Linked DNA regions of Oreochromis niloticus. The protein of the gene in region 1 binds, or shares a complex with, the protein of each later gene. Links are inferred from orthologs where the notes say so. Each region holds a gene or a part of one and is shown on either strand. Other genes may lie near its edges. The genes, in order: bop1 and pes.

What was found.
Region 2: bop1 (region 1) and pes share a complex: the UniProt entries of both Homo sapiens proteins name them as parts of the peBoW complex. The link is inferred for Oreochromis niloticus from reciprocal best matches to the Homo sapiens genes BOP1 and PES1.

The regions. Positions count from the first base shown.
Region 1 is NC_031985.2:36,129,772-36,139,028, forward strand, and holds the start of bop1 (ribosome biogenesis protein bop1), read right to left. Parts: upstream 4,180-9,257; 5' UTR 4,068-4,179; coding exon 4,002-4,067; intron 3,358-4,001; coding exon 3,202-3,357; intron 3,088-3,201; coding exon 3,010-3,087; intron 1,172-3,009; coding exon 1,017-1,171; intron 938-1,016; coding exon 820-937; intron 655-819; coding exon 553-654; intron 473-552; coding exon 260-472; intron 155-259; coding exon 1-154. Other genes in the region: lrp12 (low-density lipoprotein receptor-related protein 12), read left to right, coding at 6,141-6,195, 8,419-8,475, 8,571-8,706, 8,839-9,041, 9,130-9,257. UniProt on the Homo sapiens protein: Component of the PeBoW complex, which is required for maturation of 28S and 5.8S ribosomal RNAs and formation of the 60S ribosome.
Region 2 is NC_031977.2:17,856,721-17,865,980, forward strand, and holds the start of pes (pescadillo), read right to left. Parts: upstream 3,897-9,260; 5' UTR 3,729-3,896; coding exon 3,705-3,728; intron 3,520-3,704; coding exon 3,440-3,519; intron 2,081-3,439; coding exon 1,927-2,080; intron 1,761-1,926; coding exon 1,651-1,760; intron 1,393-1,650; coding exon 1,221-1,392; intron 1,129-1,220; coding exon 1,039-1,128; intron 709-1,038; coding exon 592-708; intron 500-591; coding exon 422-499; intron 1-421. Other genes in the region: p2rx2 (P2X purinoceptor 2), read left to right, coding at 7,112-7,278, 7,812-7,947, 8,029-8,100, 8,182-8,257, 8,345-8,441. UniProt on the Homo sapiens protein: Component of the PeBoW complex, which is required for maturation of 28S and 5.8S ribosomal RNAs and formation of the 60S ribosome.

The DNA.
Region 1 (9,257 bases):
TCCTCTGTCGTGGGCACAGATAAAGGTCCAGGCAGCGCTCAAACCTCTCATGGATGAAATGAGAAAATGCTGGAACCTGACGGAGGCTCGAGTACTTCCTTGGAACAAACGGCAACTTCCTGTCTCCTGGATCCTGCTGCTCCCACAGTGCTCGCTGCAGACAGGTGAGGCAAGTGAGGACAGACAGACGGGGGTGTGTTTGAATGCAGTTCTATCTATCCTCTGAACATAAACCAGGTGAGGCAACGCACTGACAAACCTCCTCGTCAGTGAACAGATACTCGGGTGGTGGGTTGTAGGACTCATGGTGACCAGGTAAAGGGATTTTGGGGGCAGGCAGGTGCATCCTATGTCTGGCCAGAATGGAAGAGTCCTCGCTGGCCCACAAGTCGTAATACCGCCCCCTGCCATCATCCTCTACCCGCCGGGGTTTGAGCCAACCCATTTTTATGGCATGGACCAGTTTGGACACCTGCAGTCAGACAGGTGTGTTACAGAGTTACAGTTACAGCTGAGAGCAGCCAGGTAAGCCAGGTGAGTCAGGTGCATTACCTTCTCCTTCTCTGTGAGCGAGGGGATAAAGCTGCGTTTGTCTGCCGGTCTGTTGGTGATGGGATGAATCATCACGTCGCTACTGAAGAATTCTACCATTGGCTGCGGAAGAGGTGTAAAGAGACAGGTAACCAGTGTGTTCTACATTTTTAAGCCACGCTCACTTCTTGCTAGATGGTCTGGGACATGTGGCTATTAAAGGATGGATTAAGCAGGTAAACTCAAGGCTAGTGAACGGAACCCCGGTGTCACTCTAGGAGGGCATACCTCATACTCATTGAAGTTGACGTCTCCAAACTGTCCTCTCTGCAGACGGTTCACCAGCTCCACCTGATCATCGGACAGCACAATGTCACTTCCTGTCTGCTTGTCATGCACTGTTCTCCTGCAGACAGCAAGCTGTTAGCTTCATCAGCATTCCCTATCAAACCTATGAAGAAGTTAGCATCATGCTAACCGCTCACCAGTACTCTGGGTTCTCCATCTTATCCAAGAAGTCATCAAGCTCATCCTTGTTCCTTATTGGCTTGTAGATTTTTTTCCCATCCAGATTGTACCCAATGTGAGGGAAATCTTTGTACCACTCAACAGGAATGTTCCCCACTGTGTTCCTGATATCCTGAAGGACAATGTGAGCATGAGAAACCACCACAGGATGGAGAGGGGAACATAAAAGAAGCCAATGCACCAATCAGAACATGTGTAAAGGAACAAGTATCCTGTACAAAACATGTTGTATTGTACCCACTTTAACAGGACAGTTGACAGGGGTTTGTCTTAGTTATGCTCACATATATCACAAGGCACATCCAGCAACACACAACACAGCATAACATGAAGCAAAATTCCAAAGGAACAGATCAGACATATAAAAGCAGTGTAGTCCATAAGAACGGGGTGGATCCATCTTTAAAGTGTGCTTTAGTGCGTGAGGTTCACTTTATACTCCAGATGCATGACACACAACACTGATGAGGGTCTAGAGCGATGTGAGCCAGATGCTTCCAATCTCAGTGCTGAAAGACCTTCATAATAACTGCAGTGAGAGCAGCAGGCCTGAAATCACCTTTTTCCCCACAACTGAATGCAATTTTATTTATGTAGAACCAAATCACAACAACAGTTGCCTCAAGGTGCTTTATATTGTAAGGTAAAGACCCAACAAAAACAAAAAAGAAAAGAAAACCGCAACAATACCCCTATGAGCAACCGCTGTGAAAACAGTGGGAAGGAAAACCTCCCTTTTAACAGGAAGAAAACTCCAGCAGAACTACGCAGCATTTAATAAATAATAATTAAATGCAAAGGGGTGTATAAACACAAAGTGAGTGAAAAAGTTGACTAAAAAAAAGAAACAATGGGAATCCCCCAGCAGTCTACACCTATTGCAACATAACTAAGGAAGGATTCAGGATCACCTGATCCAGCCCTAACTATATGCTTTAGCAAAAAGGAAAGTTTTAAGCCTAATCTTAAGAGTAGAGATAGTGTCTGTCTCCCGCATGCAAACTGATAACTGGTTCTATAGAGGAGGGGCCGGAAAGCTTAAGGCTATGTCTTCCATTCTACTTTTAAATACTCTAGGAAACACAAGTAAGACTGTAGTCTGACAACAAAGTGCTCTAATGGGGTGATATGGTACACTATAAGGTCATTAAGATAAGATGGGGCCTGATTATTCAAGAACTTGTACGTCAGAAGCCGGATTTTAAATTTGAATATGGATTTAACAGGAGCCAATGAAGAGAAGCTAGTACAGGAGAAATATACTCTCTCTTTTTAGTCCTTGTAAGTTCTCTCACTGTAGCATTTTGGATCGATTGAAGGCTTTTCAGGGAGTTTTTAGGACATCCTAGTAATCACAAATTACAGTAGTCCAACCTAGAAATAATAAATGCATGAACTAGTTTTCATGTCATTTCATCACAGCTTTTTCAGGCTAATAAAAGGTCAACATGAAACAGAGAACTCCAGAGCTTCACCCAGGATCTGTTGCATATAGACATGAGTCTACAACACTGAAGGTAAGCAGCTACCGAAAGGTTTAAGGTGGAATGGTTTCTTAAGTGAGCTCTCATCATAAACCAAACATCAGAACCTGGTGCACTGACCTACTAAGCATCAAAGATACCGTCAGCTGCATTTTCATTGCAGTATATCCATCGATCAGTGAGAGACTCATAATCACTGACTCAATAACCACACACAGACTGCAGCAAATTCTGGCCAGAGACTGGCCAATTATGTGTCCATCGATCCACCCCCACATGCAAACACACACACACACACACACACACACACACACACACACACACACACACACAAAAGAGCAAGGACCAGGAGCAAAAATCTCCCAGCTTTTTATTAGTGTGCATGTGGCTAAAATTGCATACAATACACCAGACACAGGCATAAGAAAAGTAATGACAAGCATACACATGAATAAGTTTTGATCACCTCTTCATCTGAAGAGTCATGTTCATACTCATCTTCCTTCTTTTCTTCACTCACTTCTTCCTCCGTTCTTTCCTTCATCTACAGATGGAACAAAGTTCAGGTGATGTTCTGCAGCAGAACACTGAGGACACTTAACAGCAACCAATCAGCAGTCAGACAAATACAGTTAAAACTTAGCTGCTGACACTGTACCTTGTCATCATCATCATCCTCCTCCTCCTCCTCGGATCCCTCTTCCCCCTCAGCGTCACTCCCAGAATCCTCCAGGCCTGAGTAGACACTGTCCTCGCTATCTGATAAATCATCATCCTTATCTTCATCAGCAGGTTTCCTGTTAAAGTTGAAGATCTGAGAAGGAAAACCCAGAATTACAGAGACACAATTGAAAAAAAACATCAGTTTTTGGCTGTGAGTGTAATTAAAAATAAGAAAAATAAAACCTACAAATCATTAGCACAAGCTAATTGCCTGTGCAATCTGTGAGTGATCACACACACACTTAAATCAAACAACCAGCAACTAAAAGCAAAACATGAAAAATCAGGAAAACCTTCTGTACTCTGCTCAGGATTGACGTCACTCAGTGCAACACTAACCGTACACATGTACCCTGACACACTACCTGCTACAGTGCTCGTTCCGTTACAGTTTTGCTGCCATTTACGTCACTGCTTCCATGTTGGATCGTTAGCTCTGGGTCGGTGAGGTTGCTCCGACAATGCGAGTTAAAATCTAAGTTGAGGAGGTCTTCCTTTTAAAACTCCGACATTATAATAGAGCCCTAACCCGAGGCTGACATCACACATGTGCACAGAGGATGGTTCTGTGTTTATTTTAGAAGCAGCAACGCCCCGGTCCGGTCTCATGGTTCAGGTCTCGCTCCGTGTCTGCTCTGAGGGCTAAACAGCAGCCTGCCCCGTATTAGCATGCTAGCTCGTTACTAGCACGTTACCAGATCTTCATCACTTTCCTCCTCTGTGTGTGTGGCTCACCTGGTTCTGTTCCTCTTCCTCTTCTTTACTCCTCTTCAACGCAGTTTTCTCCCCTGCTTTCTTCATCTCTCCTCTCCGCTCGCTCCACGCGTTTCTGTCCTCCTCGATTCAACCACGTGAAACCGAAGGTTAAAGGTCACGCGTCACAGGTTGAAGGCGGGGCCTGCTGATGACGCCTTGAACTTCTGGCAGAACGTCATAGTTACAGTGACAGGACCTCTGCCGAAAGAAAATCCGCAACGGAAAGAAAATAAAGACAAAGAAATCATGTTTATACTAACCGGAAGTAAAAAAAAAAAAATCTCAATGTGAACATGAAGTCATTTAAAAGCGAGTAAAGCTCAGTGACTGATCAAGCCCATGGACCAACCAGGTGTTAATATGTCAGTAAGTCAAAGCTTTTAAACCAGGATATGCAGTCATCCAAAACACAATAAATCTGAGCTGACAATCTCTGAAGCGTTTCTTCATGTTTACATTAGTTAACGGTTGCTGAAATCAAAGGCTAAGGCCCTCACTTCACTCTGTCTTCACACAGGAAGAAAATCCGCTGAGACCGTATCCTGCATCCCGCATCCTTCCATCAGGGGTACTTCAATTCTTGTACAGCTCCACTTTTCATATAATAAATCCCATAACATGAGTCTGCACATGAACCTGAGTGTCTGTGTGTGTGATTTTATTTCATATGAAATGTTCTAATTTCCTGATCAGATTACAATCAGACTGTCCACTCAGTCTCTCAGCTACAAAGATGGAGAATGGAGATTTGAATCTGAGCTGCTAATCAATCACTGATGGAGTCGTGGTCCCTGTCCTAATATATTGATGACTGATTCATTATTAAAGCTCTTGTGTAACAAACTAACATCTGTGTTTTTTATTGTTCGTGAAACTCGAGCAGATGAATTCTCTCCACTCTGAGCTCTGATTTCATGATTGAGGAAATCAGTCACAGGGTCAGTTAGCTGGTCCAGGTGCAGCAGGAGGTGAGGAGTCTGAGGGAACAGCTGCCAGAGAGCAGGTCAGGTTCACAGAGCTGAAGGTGGATCTCTGCGTGGAACAGAAAAGCTAGTTTCAGCTGAGGATTAAAAATCTCAGAGTTGTTAGAAAAAACTGCTTCCAGCTGCAGGCTGCAGGTCCAGCACAAAGTGGGTAGCAAAGGGTGTGTGTGTGTGAGTGTGTTTGGGGAGGTGAGTGCTGCAGCACCTCTGAGGGTTCACAGACAACAGATGTTCTGTTCTGCAAATACTGCATCTGTTAGTGACAAATCTCTCTCTCTCTCTCTCTCTCTCTCTCTCTCTCACACACACACACACACACACACACACTAACTCAGTTACTGACACACATGCAGATATGTTAGATAGAAAGCACTTAAGCATGTAAAGCTTATGAGTTGCTGTATGAGGCATATTGAGTGCTCAAGTGCAGTAGAAAAGCGCTTTAGAAGAACCGGTTCAACTAAACACACGGCCATATGTTCACTACATAGATGTAGTGAATATTTGAAGGAAGTTCGGCTCTGTGATTAATGAAGTGCCTTGACATCTTCAGGAAACAGGAAGTTCACATAAACGAACAAATGACAAAAACGGCGGGGCCATGTTAGTGACGCCACTGTCAAAGGGGCGGGGATTCTCTCTGCGGTCTGTTGTTGTTGTTCGGCTCGACGGAAGCTAAAACCTAACAGCTTCGCACGGAAATGCGCTCACGACTTCTATCAGATCGACAGTAGTGCTGCTGACTCGGTGAAGGTCCCGTGAGCTCGGATTGACCCGGTTCGCCCCCCCCCCCTCTGGGTCGGATGACTCTGTCCCGTTAGCATGTTGAAGCTAACGGGCCGGTGTTCTTAGCGTCAGCCTGTTAGTCGGCAGCTAGCGGGTCTTTGTTTCCGAGCTAACCGAGGTTCTTCGCAGTATGTCCCGCTGCGTACCCCCCGCACAGCTCGATTCCGCGTTAACGTCACGTTCAGCGGCTCGCGTCTGTGTTAATTGAATGCCGGGTTTATCGGGGAGCTCCGTTATCCTCGGTAGCCGCTCGGTTCGGAGCCGAGGTCTGCTAACAGCTGACATGCAGCGCTCAGCTCTGTGACCTTGGACTCTTCACCATTATCTTCATCAGAACATCAGGGTTATCATGGCCCTCAAAACAGACTGCAGGCAGGGTGTGGTTTGCCTCCTCCTCCTCACAGGTGAGTGCAGACTGACCTGTTTTCAAGTGTGTACACTTGTGTTTTGTTCTGATGACGCCGGGTCCGGTCTCTTTAAGACTTCCCCCTTCCTGACAACTTACTTTCTCTTGAATAAAGTGGTTCTGGAAGATTGCAGGAGGGCAGAGCTGTACACCTGTAACCATTTAAGGACAGAGTATCACAAGCTAATGTTACTTAATTTAATGTTTAACATGGACATGTGGCAAGAAGTGATTGTGGGCACTTATTATCACCAAGATTTTATGTCCCAAAAACCTGGACCTAAATCTGTAATATTTCACAGTACAGATCTTACTGCACCATCCAGTCTGCTCTGAATCCACCAGTAGAGAAAGAGGAAGTACAATGGAGAGGCAGATGTGGAAGGACAGAACATCTAGTGGTGGCTCAGAACAGCTGGAAATGGCTCTTACAGATTACTTTACATTTGGTCTGCTGTGATCAATGGACAGGTGTCACTACAGTCATTCTTCATTTCTTCTGTGTAGTAAGCATAGCAGTTGGCAGATATCAATCAGTTTCTATTAAAGCTTGAAGATGTTGAGCATGGTTCAGTAATAATACCAATCATGATAATGAAACGGTCTATGTAAGTGATCAGGGCTTCACAAGTATCTTAACAGGGACCACCTTCTCTTAACCACTTTGGGCTGGAGTCAGAATGACAGGCTGGTACACCTGACTAGGTTCCCTGTCCGTCACAGGGCTAGCACTTACCACCAATAAGAATCACCAGTTGACCAGCAAGCTTTTCTTTAGTCTGTAGGAGAACAGATACCACAGAAAGGACAGGAAGTCTGATCCTTCTTCCTGTAACAGCTGTAACCACTGCAACACTTGACCTTAGACTGCTTTATGACACAACTACACTAAAACTGGCATAACAGCACCCCTGGTGGTCAAACTTGTAACATTTGATTATCATTTTTTGAAAATTAACAATGTTGAGCATTGGCCAGCTATTTGACCCTGCAAGATTGAGCATTCTTTAAGATGCCAAATTTTCAAAATAGAGTCCTCCCATTAAGTATCATCTGCTATCTTCCTTCAACATTTTATCCATCCTGTTTAACTTTATGTCTTTTTTACATGTAACATTTAACAAGAACTTGCTGGATGTAGAACACTGTGTTGAGACCACAGACAGGATAAACGATGGCCCAAGCTTGTGTATGTGAAAAGCAAAACATGCATTCTTTTTTCTAATGGTCACCAAGGCCAATTACCTGTAGTTCTATACAAGTCTGTGTGAAACCTGACCTCTGACCTCCGTAAAGATGTTCCCGATTAGTTTAGGGGCTCAGTCACTTGTTTGAGTGATTTAAATATGAAGTCCTGATTACTAAGGATATGCTAATGACTGATTGGCAGGTCATTAGCCAATGATGCGGCAGTTTCACAGTGAGCTCCAGCTCTCACTCTTCAGATGTGGTTTTAAAACAGCAAGATGGCTGCAGCAAAAACTCTCAAAGCTTCATAATATAATTGTAAACTGATTGCAAAAGTCCTTATCTGACCTTCAAGGGGGACAGAGGCAAGCGTTTTCATCACACTGTCAAGCCATTTTTATAAAAAGGGTGGGGATAATCTGAGTCCATGATCTAAACATGTACAAATAAGCGGCTCATGAATCAGCCTGATCACCTGGCATACTGTCTCTGTGCATGGTTTTCCAGCTGCACAGGAGCACAGAAGAGAGCATTACGCAGAGTTGTACAGGTTGCCTAGCGGATAGTCAGATGTCCTCTCCTCCTCTTTTCTCAGGAAGATTAACAAATTCCTTCAAGACCCATCGCACTCTGGTCATGTACTGTTTCAACATCTACCTTCAGGCAGACATTTCAGATCCATAAAGACAAAAATTAACAGACTAAGGAACAGCATTATCCAGCTGTTCATCAGCTGTATGTCACCCTGTTATCAATATAGCTGGGATAGCTCAGTAGGTAGAGTGGTGGCCCCATGATCAGAAGGTCGAGGGTTCGAATCGACTGAACAGCTACCCTGAGGTACCCCTGAGCAAGGTACCGTCCCTACACACTGCGTACCGGGCAGCCAGTGGCTGCCCACTGCTTCACTGAGTGAATGGGTTAAATGATGAGAGGAAATTCTCCACGGGGATCAATAAAGTATACATTATTACATTATTATTATTATATGAAATCACTTCTAACCACGTGTTGTTGTGTTTTTTTTCCCCAGGATGCTTTTCTGCCTCTCAGAGGAATGAAAATGTCTATGTGTCAGGGATTTCTAATGGTGAGGTCACATTCATGACATCAGAGCAGCACTAATGGCACACACACACCCACAAACACACAGTGTCACACTAACAGTCCGACCCTGCCCCCCAGCCTGCAGTGACGTGGCAGAGCTCCTGCGGGCATCCAGCGGTATAATCACCAGCCCCGGATGGCCCTTCCAGTATCCAGCCCGAATGAACTGCAGCTGGAATATCAGGGCACGACCTGGAGATGCCATCACCATCAGGTACTGCACTTACTGTCTCCATAGTTACACCTGCCACATCCACATCAGGTCACAGAGTAAAAAGCAACAACCAAATCCTCATTTTAACCCCATCTTTGCTCTCATGATGCCCTCCCTGTTCTGTCTTTGCAGCTTCCAGGACTTTGACCTACAGGGTTCCCATCGCTGCACCTCAGACTGGATGTCCATCAGCAGCTACAGGAACCTGGATGGACTCCGGGTTTGTGGCTCCTCCTTGCCACCACCCTACATCTCCTCTCAGGACCATTTGTGGATCCACTTCCACTCGGATGACAGCCTGACGGGAAAAGGCTTCAGACTGTCATACATCAGCGGTGAGGAAACGGGATGTGGTATTGGTGATGTAACTGGAGTAGAGGCTATTCCTGGATGGGAAACAAGTAAGATTTGTTGTGTTTGCAGGTAAGCCGCTGGCATCCAGCTGTGATGTGGACCAGTTCCACTGCTCAAATGGGAAGTGCATCCCAGACTGGTGGCGCTGTAACTCCATGGACGAATGCGGTGACAATTCAGATGAAGAGATGTGTGTG
Region 2 (9,260 bases), on another chromosome or scaffold:
ATTTAGAGGTCACATGGGACGTGGTTTTTTCTGAAAAGCATCAACAATGCTTTCGCTATCCTTCCTGGAGACATTGTGTGTAATTTCTGCTATCACCACATCTTCCTCTTATAATAGCAGTTTGAATCAACTGACAATATGATATGGTTTGATGGCCTTTCGTAAGAAAAAGTCACCCAATACCACAACTAGACCATTACAATACAGCCAAACCAAGTTTCAAACGCTCAGTGGCAGAGAGAACTCGGTCCTCTCTGGTACTATACTTTTAACAAAGATCTAAAGCTGTTTTATCCTGGATGGTTTAAGTGAATTTATTCTGTTACTCTGGATAACCAACAAGCCTCCTTTCAATGTTATGAGGACTACAAACAAAAACACATCAGAGGTCTTTTACACTTTTTAAAACAATGTGACTCACCTCTAAGTAACTTTCAGAATTCATGGCATAGTCATCCTCACTCTCTTCCTTTGGCTCTGATTCTGCATTACTGTCCAGCTGCAAAATGAGAGGCGATATTAACCGATGGCAGGTCTGCTTACATATCACCAGTTTATAATGAATCCTTTTTATATTACAGTCTATGATACCTTTGGTGGGTAGACCAAGTTGAGAGAATTGTAGAGCCTGAAATTGACAAAGCCCAGCAGAGTGGTGTACAACTCTGTGAATGTTGCCATTACTCTGTAATCAACATCAACGGGGTGCTGAAAGGGAAACAGATATTAGTGTGACCAAGTTTCAGAGGTACATTTACAAGTGTGAGTTCAATCACAGTCACTTCCAACATAATTTTTTAGTATATTCTAATTTTAAAAACACACAAGCTGCTCACAAGTTAAAGCCATAAGCAAATTCAGTTTTCTTGTTCATAGGAGCCACACATTTCTGATTCTTAATGAGCAGGCAAGTCATTAAGGACAATTTTTTATTTACGATGTTTGCCTGGCAACCTATGTTATAACCCCACAGTAATAAAGTGACTGCTTATTATTAGCACTGTCCCTGTTGACTGCAATTTGCCAAACTGCACTTACATCATGGGAGAACTGATATGGCACCACCCATGTAATGAGCTGTCCCATCACCTCAGCCTGATAATATATTCCCTTGATGGAGAGGAAAACCTATCAAAGTAGACAAACATTTAGTGCATTACAGAACACAGGTCAATCAACTCTCACTGAGTCAGATCAATAACAGGCTGGTGAACTTGCACCTTTCGCAGAGAACGTGATGTGATCACATAGTTCATCCACTCCACAGTGAGCCGTTTGCACAGCTGGATTGTCTGCACATGACATTTTCCTGTTCGAGCAAAAGTGGAGAAGAGGAAGCACATGCAGAGGGCATCGTCGATATCACGGAGGGCATCAATGAAGGTTGGATACCTGCCAAAAAAAGAAGCACAAACAATATTTGTGAGGTTTTGTTTTTGTTTTGTGTTTTTAACAAAAACATCTTCCCTTTCAAATAAAAAAAAAAAAATCTGTTAAATTTCAATTAAAGCTTTAAAAAAAATCTACTGACAGACTACTAAAGATCCTGTCCTACTGTTACCCTACAATTTCAATTTAATTCATACAGTGGCAGAGAAAAAAAGATCAACTGTGCCCTCTTATGTTCAGTGTGAAGAATAACCACCCCACCTTTCTTTGATGATGTGATCCAATTTATAGGTTGGCTTGTTCTCTCTCAGTCTTTCCACTGCAGACCACTCTGTTTTTCCATAAGCCTTCTTAAGCTTACGCACAAATATCTATAAAAAGAAAATAACACAGGTACAAAAAAAGACTGTCAACCAAATTTAAATCAAACTATAAAACAAAGACATGATGAGGAAAAACTGATTAAAACAAAGTGTTTTAAATATCCTTTTTGTAGAGGTAAAGCACACTAAGGCACTGGTTTCTTATGTAAGATACCTTGTACTCTCTGAATTTTCCAACAATTGGCTCATGGAGCAGAAAGCGGATGTCCTTGAGCAGGTAGAAGGTCCTTGGGGCTGTAGAGCCTTTGTTCACCTTCTTCTTGTGCTTTGGCTCATGAGGATATATGCCTTTGAGAATGCAAAGTCGCCTGAAAATCAGAGAAGAGAAATCATTTGTCTGCAACAAGGTTCCTTTCTGGGAAAGCCTTGCAACTGGAAATCGAGATTTGGAACAAACTTGGAGAAAAGTAAGTTGCTGTGATGTAACAGAAACAGAAACTAATCTGGTGTTTATAAAAAAATCTTAGTAATATTGGCATGGAGAGTAACATTTTCAAAACCAGGGATTTATTTTGAAATTACCAGCCACTGCCAAATATTCTGATCACATTCACTAAAAATTTAAGACACCTCAGAATTTTTTGTTAAATTAATATATGCACATTATATGTCAGATGTGATTTATGGATATAGTGCTGATCATAAAGAATATCACTAGGTGCAGATCCATTATTAACTACTAACATAACTTTATCTCACTAACTTGGGCGTCAATACATTGTTCCTTGTTGAAGGTAACAAGGTTTTTACTGAAATGCTAATTAAACTTTGCTTCACTTTTGAGGATGCATTAATACTTTTTGCATTTCACTCACTTTTTTCAAAGATGCGAGAAGCAGAAGTAGTGAAAGAGGAGTTTTAACGCTGGGGTCAACCATCCAAAGCAACAGTGCACAAGAGAGGTTAAGAAGAGAGTGCAGGGCAGATGGAAATGAAGGTCAGGGGTGATTTGTGGCAGACGGATAGCAGCAAGAATGACAGCTAAGGATTGCAAGATGGTAGTGAGACCTGCTGTGAAGTATAATTTGGACAGGAGGCCAAGCTGGTAGAGCTGCTGAGATTTTCAACTTTACAGTAGGAATGTAAGAATTGAGTACATCAAAGGGACTGCTAAGATTGAGCAGAGACAAAGTTAGAAACAAGGCTGGGATGGTTTGGACATGTGTAGAGGAGGGACGGTGGATGATTACTGGACAAAGGATGTTGATGGAGCAGATGTCTGGCAGGTGGAAAAGAGGAAGACCACAGAGGAGATTCATGGATGTAGCGAAGTACATGCAGAGTGTTGATGTGAAAGAGGAGGATGCTAGGGACTACTGTTGTGACCTCCAAAGCCAGGAGCCGAAAAGAAATGCACTTTTGTTTGACTCTGCACACATGTCTACCTTGTTCAATACACAGCACAGTTCAATACACAGTTTCACAACAAACAAACAAAGAAAACCCACTGAGTTGAGTTTTAAAGACTGTGTTGTAAATGGGCCCTAGCACCTTTTTCCACCCAGAAAGCGTTAGCTACTATACAATAACGAGAAACTAATATAGTGGCGTCGGGGTATGAATATATCGTGATTTAAAACACAGACAGACAGACAGACACACACACACACACACACACACACACACACACACACACACACGTGTAAAAATGCTAACTGCAACGTTACCTGAAGTCCGGGAGGCTGAGCTGCAACTTCTTTCGAGCTCTGTTTCTGGTGATGTAGTTGGTGGCAGAGCCCCTCTCAAACTGGAAAACATAGGAAGATGCTCATATTCAGCACAAACAGTATGTGTTAACAAGGCACATAAGCTCACCCGAGTCCAGGAGAATCTACTGTTTGAGAAAAACAAACTTCAGCTAGCTGTTAGCTAACTGGATAGTCAGACTTTTGGTAATAAAACGCCCGACATTACACGAACACCCACACCTACCTTTTTCTTTTGAAGACCTCCCATTTAGAGACCGTTTCTAACCCTCCACAGAGTTTTATCCAATTGTAGTTGTTTTCACAAAGTACACGATTCGCAATGTTACACAACAACGACCGACACGACACGCAGCAAATGCACGTGCGGCTTGACATGCGCGAAGGAGATGGCCCAAACAGCAGGACCCATGGGTGGGCCGTTGATCTGCCTGTTTACAAAGGAAAGCCGCAAAAGGGTTTTGGACGTGAAACATTCGTACATACACTGTATGGAAGGTTTACATACACTCATCAATGGCGTGTGCTTTTTACGGAAGCGTAGAGCTGCCACCCAGGCAAAAGAAAAATAGAAGTATATCACGTTATAACGTGAAAAGTTTATTGTTCTAACAAGATACTTTTCGCATTTGAACAACATAATATGACGTTATTACAATATACATAATTATCACGTTCGTACAATATAATATTTATATTGTACGAACGTGATATTTATATTGTACGAACGTGATAATTATGTATATTGTAATAACGTCATATTATATTGTTCAAACGTCAAAAGTATATTGTACAAACATGAAAGTATATTGTACAAACATGAAAAGTATCTTGTTAGAACAATAAACTTTTCACGTTATAACGTGATATACTTCTATTTTTCTTTTGCCTGGGTGGCAGCTCTACGCTTCCGTAATACAATAAGCGCTTAAAACAAACAAACAAACAAACAAACAAACAAACAAACAAACAAACAAAAAAACACCTTTTTATGACGGAAAGAGAAACTACCACTTGTAGCCAGTCATTATCACTAAAAATAAGTTCATAGGTCATATAAGTGTCAGCATCATTTAAGAATTAAGCGAGTGTATATGTTTAAGCTTTTTATGTTTAAGGATTGGAGAAAATCCAAAATAAATTCAAACTTGTGCACTAAGTTCTTGTTTCATCTTTAAAAGCTCAAAATTACCATCACATTAATAGCCAGGATGAGTGTATGTAAACTTCTGACCACAACTATAAGTGACAGCACTATTTTTTATTATATTACTATATATAATAAAGGTACCTGTTCGCCCTGCAGGCAGTCTTTATGCCTCAAGCTTGGGTCCCCTACCAGAGGCCTGGAAGCTTGAGGGTCCTGTACAGTATCTTTGCTGTTCCCAGGACTACACTCTTCTGGACAGAGATCTAGAATATCATTCTTGGGATCTGCTCAAGCCACTTGCCCAGTTTGGGAGTCACTATCCTGAGTGCTCTGATTACCACTGGGACCACTGTTGCCTTCACCCTCCACATCTTCTTAAGCTCTTCTCTCAACCCATGGTATTTCTTGAGCTTCTTGTGTTTCTTCTTCCTGAAAATGTTATCCTAGCAACATCTTTCACTGTGGCCATCTTCCTCTGCTTGTCCAACACTACTATGTCCAGTTGGTTAGCCATCACCAGTTTGTCTGTCTGTAACTGGCAGGCTCTTAGCTCAGTCATCATCAACCACCATGGAGGGCATATCACATTTTGACCTCATGACTTTCAGGCCATACTTGGCACAGATATTTCTCTATATACCAGCTACCTGGATTTGCTGCCATCTAGCATCTTGCACCCTGGTGTTATGTGTTGGAGTGTCTCAGGGACATCTTTGCACAGCTTGCACCTGGGGTCTTGCCTGGTGTGGTACACCATTGCCTCTATGGATCTTGTACTTAGAGCTTGTTCCTGCGCTGCCATGATTTGTGCCTCTGTGCTGTCTTTCAGTACAGCTTTTTTCAGCCATTGGTTGGATTTCTTGATAATAGACACTTCTTCTATCTGCTGGTGGTACATGCTGTATGGGGGCCTGTCCTTCCATGATGGTTCCTCTTCTTGCCCTTTCTATTTCTCATGTTTCTGCTGCCTGAGGTATTCACTAAGCACGTGGTCATTCGTTGGCATCTTCCTGATGTACAGGGGTGGTTGTAGCTCAGAAGGTAGAGTATCTACTAATTGGAAGCTTGGTGGTTTGATCCCTGGCTGCTCCAGACTACATGCCAAATATTCTTCGGCAAGATACTAACACCTTGTTGCTCTCCAATGCATCCATCTCAAGTGTAAATGTTTGATAGAAAACACTTAAGCATAGAAAAAGTGCTTGTATGAATGGGTGTGCATGGGTGAATGAGGCATGCTGTATAAAGCGCTCTGAACGCTCTGATTGGGTAGAAAAAGCACTTGTACAGTTCTAGGCATTCCAGGATCCACATGTAAGTCATTGAGTCAGAGGCTCTCTTGAAGTCAGTCCAGGCAGTGCATAGGTTGGTCGGTCTGGTCTTACAGTTACTGATCTGTCTACCAGTAGCTGTTGTTTCCCCCCCACTGAGTTTTTCTGCCAATTCCTGCCCTGCTCATGTATTGAGCCATGTGCCTGTTCATTTTGCTATGATGCCTGACAGAAGCTTCCATGTACTGCAGCAAGTTATTGGCTAGTAGTTGGATAGGACCAGTCAGGACTGTCCGGCCTTCAGTTAGCCATTCTCGTCGTGTCTCATCCATTAGCAGGTGGTTCATTTGTGCTTCAGAGATTCATGAAGGGCAGTTAGCTTCTTTAGTCAGTATCTGTGTATCATGTCAAGGCCTGGTGCTGTCCAAATCTTCATGCTTATGACCCTTTCTTGGATGCCTACTGCTGTGATGGTTACTGGATCTTATCCAGGGAGGTTGCTGTGGTCTGCTCTTAGAGCCACTAGCCACTGAGCATTATTGCTATAAGTTGCATCTCGCACATGGTCTTCCAGTACTGCTAGGTCTCCAGCATTGGTGAGGCTGTTGTTCTCATATTGTTTCCCTGCCACTGAGAGTACCTTGAATGGTTTATTCTCCTGGCTTCGAACTTTCTGGTATACCTTTTCAAGCAGCTACCCAAGGCTGTGAGTCTTTGCTTGGCAGTTTCTAAGACCTCAGGTATGGACAGGTTGTTGTACTTCTTCGGCATCCCTTTTTTCGTCACACCTTTCTGCAGGTTTGACCGTTGCTCATAAAAATCCAGACCAACACACTCTGATCAAAACCAGTAATTTCAAGCAATTAATAGATCTGCAAATTTTGACAATTTAAAACAATGTATGTGCAAAGTAAGACAGTATGTAAAAAGAAAAGATAAAAAACTAATAACAAGAAGATGAGAGTTAAAAGAGTCTTGCACAGGGAGAAACTGATCCAGGCATAAAGCTGATTTATCAGAATAGAGTGGCATAAAAAATGAATCCTGCCTTCAACCACATCAGGACCCCACCCCCTACTCTCTTGTTCACTCACTGGTGCCAGGGATGCTTGAGAGAAATGCAGGCTGGAGCTGAGAAAAAGACATGATGACAGAAATTTAAAGCTAAATATACAGATTCAATCATAAGACTTCACAAGAACATCTGAGGATATGACGGAAACATGCCATAAAATCATCATGGGGCTACATAACTTCCTGAAGGAGTATATTCATGGTTTTTGGGACTATGAGACCCCCAAGGTGATGGTGGTTAAGAACAGAACTCTTGGCGTGATTTACAGGAGTGTTCAGTTTCTTGTGATCACTTATTTCATATGGTAAGCTTCACTTACATTTGCATGTCTAATGACTGGGTGTGTGGACAATGTATGAAATTCAGGTTTATTTTGTCTTTTCTACATTTTTTCTGTTAGATCTGTTGGTCTGAATGTGTTTTCTTTTAAATTTAATTACAGTAAAATTAAAAGCATTTTTTAAATGAATAATATTCATGCAGATGAAATAAATACACTACGGCTTTAAATTTTAACTAATGCAGTGCAGTTTTGTGGGGAGGAAATGCATCCCATTTGCAATTAACAGCATAAAATTCAACTATCCAACTGAGTGTGACTCATCCAGTCTCTATATTATCAGAGATTTAAATGCTATCCAAGGAGAACAGATGTAAAGTGTTTCAGATTTGAAATAAACTAAATGCTCTGAAGTGAGCATCTGAAAGTACATCATCACCTTTTTTGTCTTCAGCAAAGAGGGCTGAGCAGATCCAGGGTAACATGACACCGCCAATAAAAATTGACATCATGGTAGAAAATGTGATATTACCTCTGTCTCTTCTATCATCCTGAAGGTATGTCTTTATAAGTCAGAAAGCATACCAAGAGAGTGAAACCCGTCCAGAGAGCTCTGTTTACACTCTCATGAAAGGCTCAGCAATTCATGGAGATGAGATCCTGGACACTGTGGAGTATGCCCGACCCTCAGAGGTGATTTCTTCATTAAACTTGTGCAGCATAGCTCATGCTTGAGTTAACCACACTAAGTCTTTTTTGTCCCTTTTTGTTTAGGGTGGCGATGTGATTAGCACAATACTGAGACGAGAATTCACGTTCAATCAGAGACAAGACACCTGTGCTGAGGTGAGAAGTCATCTAAAATCTACTGAGTAACAAAGACACCTTTTTCCTCCCATCACTGTCATCTGTCTCTATTCACTTTAGCATTTCAATGTTGCCGATGCCAACTGCACCACCGATTCTGACTGCGTCGAAGGGGAAGTCAACTTCAATGGCCACGGTAACGTTTTCACTTCTTATCTAATTTTTCTTCGTGGCTTTTTTGGTTTGTATTTGTCACCCCTTGTTTCGAAACACTCTCCTACAGGCAGAAGGACGGGCAGATGTGTTCAGTACTACAACCACACCTTTAAAACCTGTGAGATACAAACCTGGTGTCCGATTGAGGAATACGCTGTAGTACGGTAAGATGGGCGTTACAGAATCACCATCAGCATCATGTCAGGTTTATATGCATCCTTCTAAAAATCCATACAAGTTCTGAACAGACTCAAACTGAGCCTAAATATCCCAAAACATGGGAAACTAACATGAAATAAAATAAAAATTGGTGGAGCGATTTATTAAAACGTGTAAACATACATGGAAATGAAAGATACAAAACAAAACCAAAATGGTACAGTTCTAACAAGCTTGAAAGTCAATATTTAGTGTGAACACACTCAGCCAAGCTTTCTTGTAATTTCTTTAGGTAGTCTTTAGGAATTGAGAGGGCGGTGAAGAATATGTAGGATGATAGAAAAACAGCGGTGAGGTGTGTGGTAGGAGTGACAGATGTTTTCAAAGGGGGTGGGATTACATCAGGGATTGGCTCTGAGCCCTTTCTTGTTTGCAGTGGTGGGCAGACCGACAGATAAGGTCAGGCACGAGTCTCTGTGGACTATCAGGTTCACAGATGGCACTGTGATCTGCGCTCAGAGTAGGCAGCAGGTGGAAAAGAGCCTGGAGAGGTGGAGGTATCTTCTGAAGAGAAGAGGAATGAAAGTCAGTGGAAGCAAACAGAATGCGTGTGTGAATGAGGGAGGCAGATGTAACAGTGAAGCTGCAAGGTGGAGAGGTAGTGAAGCAAGATGAGTTTAAAAACCTGGGTTCAAACATCTAAATCCACAGTGCACAAGAGAGGCGAAGAAGAGAGTGCAGGCAGGGCGGAGGGTGTTAGAGGTGATTTGTGACTATGATAGCAGCAAGAGTGAAAGGTAAAATTTACAAGAGATTTGGTTTAA